Tribolium castaneum: one gene and its partner. The protein of the gene in region 1 interacts with the protein of each later gene in a biochemical or structural test. Links are inferred from orthologs where the notes say so. Each region holds a gene or a part of one and is shown in the gene's direction. Other genes may lie near its edges. The genes, in order: Dop2R and frequenin-2.

What was found.
Region 2: the proteins of Dop2R (region 1) and frequenin-2 form a complex in vitro, tested with the Homo sapiens proteins (2 studies listed by BioGRID, with this or other methods). The link is inferred for Tribolium castaneum from reciprocal best matches to the Homo sapiens genes DRD2 and NCS1.

The regions. Positions count from the first base shown.
Region 1 is NC_087402.1:3,954,359-3,958,763, reverse strand, and holds the start of Dop2R (dopamine D2-like receptor), read left to right. Parts: upstream 1-1,310; coding exon 1,311-1,724; intron 1,725-4,405. UniProt on the Homo sapiens protein: Dopamine receptor whose activity is mediated by G proteins which inhibit adenylyl cyclase. Positively regulates postnatal regression of retinal hyaloid vessels via suppression of VEGFR2/KDR activity, downstream of OPN5.
Region 2 is NC_087394.1:35,444,730-35,449,013, forward strand, and holds the start of frequenin-2, read left to right. Parts: upstream 1-1,235; 5' UTR 1,236-1,349; coding exon 1,350-1,413; intron 1,414-4,284. UniProt on the Homo sapiens protein: Neuronal calcium sensor, regulator of G protein-coupled receptor phosphorylation in a calcium dependent manner. Directly regulates GRK1 (RHOK), but not GRK2 to GRK5. Can substitute for calmodulin. Stimulates PI4KB kinase activity.

The DNA.
Region 1 (4,405 bases):
CAAAAATTTTAATAGTTATTTATTCGACGAGTTTGAGTGTAAATCGGACGTTTTATTTCACGAGTGGTTTTTTAAACCTCGAGTGATAACGAGAGGTTTACCATCCACGAGGTGAAATAAATGAACCGATTTACACGAAAACGAGTTGAATACAACATTTTATTCTTCGAATTAGACTCAACAAGGCTTAAAATTGCTTAAAATCTGTTAAAAATAATCTGACGTTTCGTATTGAGAAATGCCAAACAGTTGTCAAAACTGTCTTACACAGGAGAAAAATCCAAAATTCTGACAGTGTCGAAGAATAAATACTTTTTATGCTGAAAAATAGTTGTTTAGTTGACTTTGGAATTTTAATGCACTGTGCCGCTTTGTCTAAATGGTTATTTTAATTTCCGTAAACTTCCCACATTTTACTACATTATTCCAAGAAATAAGGTTTCTTTTAGTTTACGTTTTATATTTTTGTACTAGCGGTTGTTCGGTATTCCTGTCGTTTAAATAAAATTAAAACAATTTTCCTTAATCATGCAAAAATGAGAAAAAAGCTTTATTATTAATCAAATTTTTATTTAATCGAGGTTTCAATATGCAGAGGAATAAGCCTTTAATAATCAGTCTGCATTAAAATTTACGCGGACGAAATCGCGGATGAGTGCAAGTTTTGTTAAAAATGGTGGATGCGCCGGGTTAGTTATAATTTAATTGTGTTAAAAAATCTTGTTTCTTGGGCTGGATTAAAAGTTTGTTGGTCATGTTTATTTACATTTCACATGTTTTTTATTGGAAAATTATTGTTTTTGCTTAATTTTTTTATATTGAAGGAGATATTTCTGCCTTTTTGCTTGATTTATCTCAATCTTGTGAAATTGTGTAGAAACCGAATGCGTGTCGCCTGTTCGAATGAGGTTTTGGTATGATTTGTGGCACTTTTAATCCGGCGGAGTAGTCGTGAATGTCTCGTTAGATTTCAACAAGTACGTCAATGCTGAGCCTTCGGTGCGTGTATCGGGACGCCTCTGCCGGAGACAGCGGGAGACAGGGCGGCGCCGTGCGCGTCGCTCTCCACCGTCGGCGTCCCGGCGCATAGCGCCTCTGTTTGTGCCCCGGAGTGCACGCGACTGTGTCCAGCATCGCGCGAGTCGGCTTCAAAGGTGCAACCGTCATGTAAACCAGTGCACGCAACCATGTTTCGTCTCAGCATCGCGAGGTAATTAAAATCCGGGATCATGCGGCCCGTCCACGCATAGCGTGCCACCCCGGAGTTGCGGGCCACCGGAAGAAGTTGCTTGTGTTATCCCGCCGTGAACATGATCCCTGAAAAAATGGACGCGAACGCTTCCATCGCCAACGCCACCCGGAACTCGTCCGACCCGGGCCTGGACCACTTCATGCTCCTCTTCGAAGACATCGACCAGTTTTTCAGCCATCTCAACTTGTCCAACGACTCGGATTACGCCACTTTCGAGCGCCTGTTCAACTGCAGCTCCAACAGCAGCAACAGCTCGTGCTTTGGGCACCCGGAGGCCCCCGGCAGCCGGAACTACTGGGCCTTGGTCCTGGTGCTCTTCCCCATCTTCACCCTCTTCGGCAACGTGCTTGTGATTTTGAGTGTTTACAGGGAGCGAACTCTGCAGTCGGCCACTAACTACTTCATTGTTAGTCTGGCTCTGGCCGATCTCCTGGTGGCCGTCGTCGTCATGCCGTTCGCCGTCTACGTGCTGGTGAGTTCAATTACGGTTATTTTTATCACCCACACCCTCGGTCCAGTGGTTATCGAGCCGAACACAAATCGGAAGGGTGGGTAATAAACATGACAAAGGGTCATCACCATCAGATCAATGTAGGCACTTTACGACCTGGATACGGGGGCGCTTCTTCTCGATGCACTTCAACCCTTCACTGTCGCGTGACAAAGATACATAAATTCACCCTCTTTTACAACGACTTTACGAAATATGAGCGTAATTAGCACGTTCAATCGCCTGTCGCGTGCCCTCTAAAATCGATCCGCAGCTTTACACTGGATTCACTTTGATTAATAGCAGACACTAATATCGATTCATAAAGAAAAACACTAAATCACAAATAAGAACTCGGACGAAAATACACAATTCTATCGCTTAAACGTCAATATTTGCATTGAAATGGCTTAGATATAATTTCGTTCAAGAGGGTGCATCTGACAGATCTACAAACTCAATTTCAGGCCGACAGATTTTGCGAATTATTCGCGCGGGATTTACATTTAACTCTTCATATTTTTCGACGGATGCAACCGGTTATACCAAAGAAATCGGCCCTATTTATCGCACCTTCTGACATCACAAAGGAATTAAAGAAGATTTTTACTGTGTATTTTGTTATAAATAATTTTTGGTGCAATTTGCTACGCTTTGAAATCATGCAGGTTTTACGGCAACTTGATCCAGGGCTGTGCCATGCAATGACACAATCAGCATCTCTCTAAGGGGCGACATAATTGAACCATTTAGCCATAAAAGCTATTGATAATTTTATATGCGGTGTTTTTTTAAATATTTTATTTTAAATACAGTTTCCTTTCGAAATTATTGCAGTCTGTGACTATAACTGTCTCAGATTGTGTAATTTTTGTAACAACAAAAAGCTGAGATTACGGAGAATTTTGGATAGAGTAGAGAAACTGAAACTAGAGTCAAAAGGAAAATGCGAGCGAACAGGCTCTTGGTGAAACCTTAAAAGTGGAGAATAAATTAAAATAAACTTTTTCATTTAGATTTTAATGATTTTTTTGGAAGTCGATGGCAAAATTTTCAGTTCTTATGTAAAAAAACTCAAAGATAGTACGGGATGTGTCCACGTATACCATATTGTGTGAAACCTTTGGATGTTTTAAATTATTTTAACAACTTAATTACGCTATATTCGAATATTGTTGTGGCTCTGAAAATTTTATTATCACACCAAGTGAAAAGAAATACAAATCGATGACGGACGGGACACAAAAAATTTACATTTTTATTGCTGAACAATCGTTATAAATTTCTGTTAATTTAAAAAGCACTAATTTCAACAATTATTTTCGAAGTAAGAGGTGGAACTTTTGAAACTTTTGAAACCACGAAACCGAACAACAAGGCAATGTGTAACGAATTCTTGTTAATTTACTTTTTGTTTTCACATGACGGACGGGACAATAATCTTGTGTATGAAAATAACATTAAAAAATGTATTCAGTGTAAATTAAAAATTATTGGTATCGCTACACGTCAGAAATACGAGCAATGACGGACGGGACAAGGTAAATTGTGTGCAGTTTTTAAGGGTAGCTTTCTGGACGACTCTGTCTTTGCCTTTATTATGGGGCAAAAATAATTTTTATTTCAGGTAATTTTAGGGTCACTGTGTAAAGAATCAGGAAATGGTGACCAAAATAGAAATGAACTTTTAGCGAGAAGCGGTATTATTTTTATTGTGGGCTTTGGAGCATTTAAATGACTCCATAAAGTGTCGGCTTCGGCCCGATTGGGTTTTCACCTTTTCTGATAAATTTTATGGCTGGGTTTGGGCGTTGCAGTCTGGCCGCGGTCCAGATTGGTTCGAGTGTTCCGTCGTCGTATTATGTTTTATTGCGTCACCTTTACGTTAATTTCTTTCGATCGCTGAATCCGGTCGAGCGGATTTTCCTTTTGTAGTATTGTGTAGCAATCGGTGCTTTTCCATCGGAAAATATTGCCTTCGGTTGATTAGTCGCGAGAAAATTGTTTTTGCGCATTTTAATCGAAATTGCGAATGGGAAAATTTAATTATACCGATGTAAAACTATTATGCGAGCTCGACAGCGCGCGGCACTCAACAGCTCGTAAATGTGGTGATGTGGCGGCGCTTTCCAGTGTCAAATTTTTCCTTGCACCGGGGTTTGGATTACAATTAAAGTCGTCATTAGGTGGAGTGCGGCTTTTATTTTCAATTTGGGTTTAGTGGCGTTAAAAGCGCGCTTTACGGCCGACGGGCTGTATTCTTGCATCGAATAAATGGGTGATAAAGTCGGTAACAAGTGTAGATGAAATATCAGAAGATTTTTGGAGCGCGATTACAGGAGCAATTAAATTTAAAATCGTCGCAGGATTGAAGTTTATAGCAATTGGAAAAGCTGCAAAGATATCTTAATCCGGTTTGGGGCCGAGCGCTCTCATTAAAGCAATGCGGCGTGAAATGAACGAGGCCAGAACTCGATAACGGATCTAATCAGTCGCGATGTCCAACGGAAAAAGCTCGTTATACTAAACCGACATAATTTCATTTGGCAATTAGCGAACTCCCCGGAAAAATCACCACCGCACCGACCGAGCAAAACCGACATTTCCACAACTTGGACTTCAAAAATAGCGCTCCTCGTCATTCTGTGTAATCATCACAAAAA
Region 2 (4,284 bases), on another chromosome or scaffold:
ACATTTGGTTGTAGATAAAACTTTCTTTTTTATTTCTATTTTTACTGGATACAGGAGCTATTTTTATTTTTACATTTTTTTACATTAAATCAATAAATACATTTATATAAAAATTGTTATCGTATTTAAAACAAAATGTCTAAAACGATTACGTTTTCCAAAAATGTTATTTCTTTCCTCAATCCGACTCATAGTAGTTTAAGATTTAAGTCTAGGAAATTAAAGATTGTCTTATAGTCTACTAATGTTGGTTAGTGATCCTTTAATTATATGTTTAGTTTCGAGAGTTTAAAATAATTATTTACAATACAAGGTGCAAAAATGGTGGATGCGCCGGGCTCCACCAAAAAAAAAAAAATTTCTAAAACAAATTTCAGCGCAAGAAATTAAAGTCTGGCATTATTTTAATGTTTTAAAAAACTGTTTTCATAATTTTGTTTAATTGATGTGAATAAGGTTTTCTATTTAATTGGACTAATTAATAGCCAGTGATATGTCCTTGTGCTATTTTTTTAATTTCAGTTTTTATATTATATGCTGCACTGCATATACATCAAAATCTTTTTTAGAAGCTAATTTTACAGTTAGATATTTGCTGAAAAAAATCAAAATTTAATTATAAAATCTGACCATTTTCTTAATCAATTTTTATGAAAAGACAAGACAGTTTGACCTTCCAAACTTTTTGGTTGCCTTGTAGAGACATTTATTTACTTTTTTTGAAATGTATTACTTATTTATAAAACAGGACACAAGAAAAATGCCTGGTAAGATTAATTGTAACCTCGGCGCAAAAATGGTGGATGCGCCGGGCTACACCTACTAAATAATCTCAAGCGTAGACTTGAAGAAATTAATCACTGTAAATTTTTCCACCAAAATACAAAGCCTTAAAGTATACAATGCAGAAACACGTTGCTGCTGCTGATAAAAGTCTTTGTGCTTCGGTTGTCGTACTTTTCCAAGTTTGCTTTTAAATATAGGTACTCGGATCAGATTGTGTCATTAACTTACCAAATATTTATCATAAAATTAATTTCTGTTAAAGGAAGTATCGTCTGGACGTAATTCAAAGTTATCCAATTGGAATCGCCCTTTTTTGCGTTTCTCGTGTAAATGGGCGTTATTACTTACGATAATTTGGTCGTGAGCTACCAAACCTCATTCCCATACGGCGACATTCGTTAAGTTAACTGCAGGATGTGCGACAGTGAACTTCGTAGGGTAAAGGCGCAAGCGTAACTTCTATCTACCCTGTACAGTAGGAGTTTGAGTGTTACCCTTTAGTATTGTGCGATCGGTAGAAATTCGTACGTTGTTCTTGTAAGTTGGAAACGAAACACTCCAACATGGGTAAAAAAAATTCCAAGCTAAAGCAAGACACAATCGACAGACTCACCACCGCCACATACTGTGAGTTTTCTTGTGCAACTTTATGTTTGTTTTCAACTTGTTTACAAAATGTGTCACCAGCTTGAGGCACTTACTTTCCTTTTATTAAAAAAATACAACACAGTTTGTGTTAACACAACTTATGTAACAGTGTTTCGGGTTAAATTGCTTCAAACAGCTCGGCTGTAATTCATCTTAACTCAATTTTCCTGAGGATGGTATGACAAGACTAACTCATTTTTTTGTCGCAAAAGAGAAAGTCCGCTGCGTATATTTTTCTTCTTAAATAGATTGTTGAACGTTTAGACCTTGTTTGCTCTATCAACACCATTTAAGAGAACAAACAGTGCGTAATGCGTTTGGACGTGGATATTACGAGAGCTAGAAATAAATGATACAGCTTTTAAATTTACATAGGCGGGCAAATATCTACACCCTGAAGGCAAATAACGCCCGAGTGCAAGTGATTGGAAAACATGTGCGCAATTTCCTTACGTTTCTCCAAATTCAACAGTTACTTGGCCACTAACATCCAAATCCCTACACCTTTTTTTTGCTCTTAATAATTAATGCTCCCGCAATTATTACGGGACTAAGTACCTGCTAAACGTTACACCTATTCTCTAATTAGCTGGTCGTTGTATTTTCTGTGGTTTGTTTTCTCTGTTAATGTTTTCACTAATTTGTAGGCAATCAGTTCAAACAACACCCTTATTTAAAGCATCAATAATTTATTTCTGGAGCTAATTTCGCGTCTTCGACGTAAACAGCCATCGTGAAAAGCGAAATGGCTTTTTATTTATGATTATTATTTATCATTCCGTAATACATCTCAAAACTAATTTCCGTTCCGTCCCGAACTGTCCTAGTTATTTTATTATTTATCAATAACGTATTATTGATCAACAAGTGTCTCCAATTGGTTTTCGTGCAATAAATATTTTTTTAAATAAATATAAAACCTTCAACTTTTATAACCTGTCTGGTTACGCTCGACGCCTCGAAATAAAAATCTCTAAAAATAACATTTCCTTAATATTGGAGGTAATAAAATTCGACATTTTTCGCATTACCATTTTCCTAGTTTGTGCGGAAACTTTTGCACGGAGGCATGTTGACTTTTAGAGCTTTTATTTGTTGTTGGAATTTAAAAGTCTTCTATTCTAACAAAAAAATCTTTAAAAATTTAAATTGTGGAACTTTTGTAATAAAATCACCGCTCCGTTTACATCAACGATTCAATGTTCCCTCAGTTGGATGCATGTGTTTTAATCCAACCGCAAATAAACATAGTCCTTCTTGACATTTTTTGTGTGTGTATAGGGTGCAGAATTTTGAATATGCGGATAGGAGATCTTCCAAACTAAGAGGTTTAGAGAAAAAAGAGTGACACATTCTCGGGTCCGTTTTTTGAGAAAATACTTTTGGGCAAAACCGCATCCCGCTATCGTTTTTTGTTTTCGACTTATAAACAAAAGTTGACATTTTAGCGAAATCTTAAAAAATTCATATCTTCCTTATTATAAAAGATACACATTTGAAACAAAAATATTATAAAGCATTTTTTACAAAAAATTTATTAGTGTTATTTGCAGTTTTTTTTAATCATTTGTTTAACTGTAATAACACAAAGTTGTATTTTTTTAAATAGGAATCATAGTTGGCGGTGACATTTTCGAAAAGCTTATTTTTTTCTGAACTGAACACAATATAAATACAGTTTGATATTTTTATATACCTTTGATAAAAAATATATTTAAAATATTTGAAAGTAGTTTAATTAGGATTTTTTTTAATTTTTTCATGGCCTACTATATAAAAAAACGAAATGTTATGTTTTTTTAATATTTAAAAAAAGATATTACACAAATAGACATATCAAATCAGAAAAAATAAGCTTTTCAAACATATCACAGCCACCTATGATTCCTATTAAAAAAAAAATAAAACTTTATGTTAGTACAGTTAAACAAATGGTTAAAAAAACGCTGATAACATTATAACATTTTCTGTAAAAAAGTGCTTTATAATGTTTTTGTTTCAAATGTGTATCTTTTATAATTAAGAAGATATGAATTTTTTAAGATTTTGCTAAAATATCAATTTTTGTTTATAAGTCGAAAAGACGATAGCGGAATGCGATTTTGACCAAAATTATTTTCTCAAAAAGTGGAACCGAGAATGTGTCAATTGTTTCAGAAATCCCTTATTCGGATATTCAAAATGCTGCACCCTGTACAAGGGCTCCACTATCCTATAGTTTGCTTTTAGCATCAAATTATAATTTTAAATACAGTGTGGAACACGTAAAGTGAATTTACGCCACGAATTATGTGATAAATTGGGAAATATGTGGAAGGAGAAATCCATTTTACTCGTAGGATAAATGATTTCATTTCCGTACTTGTTGCATAAATAACTAATACTGGCGACGGAGACCTAATGACTGTAATTTGGCACTTATTGTTATGACACTTGTGGAGTAATCATTTTATGACAACAATCCAGCTACTGTGCAATAAAAATAAGTTTAGAGATTTTTCTGCTAATTTCGGGCCGATGAACATAAAATCTACGTTTTGCTGGTCAAAAATAGAAGTGGGTGAGTAAATCAGTTACACTGAACAAGAGCGCATTACGTGTTGGGGTGTAAAAGTGTTTCGGGCGATTAAAATCGGTTGCATGTTGCACGTGGGGGGTTGATGGGTTGATGTATGCTTATATCCTGAGCAGCCCATCCTTGGTATCACGTCAGTTGAAGGATGAACTTTGTACAATCGCATGCTGGTGGCAGATTGAGACCGATGTGCAAATATGCCCTTTAGGTAATCAAATAATGGAGCGCAACACGCACGTCTTCTGATCGATTCGATTAGTTATGAGGGAATTTAT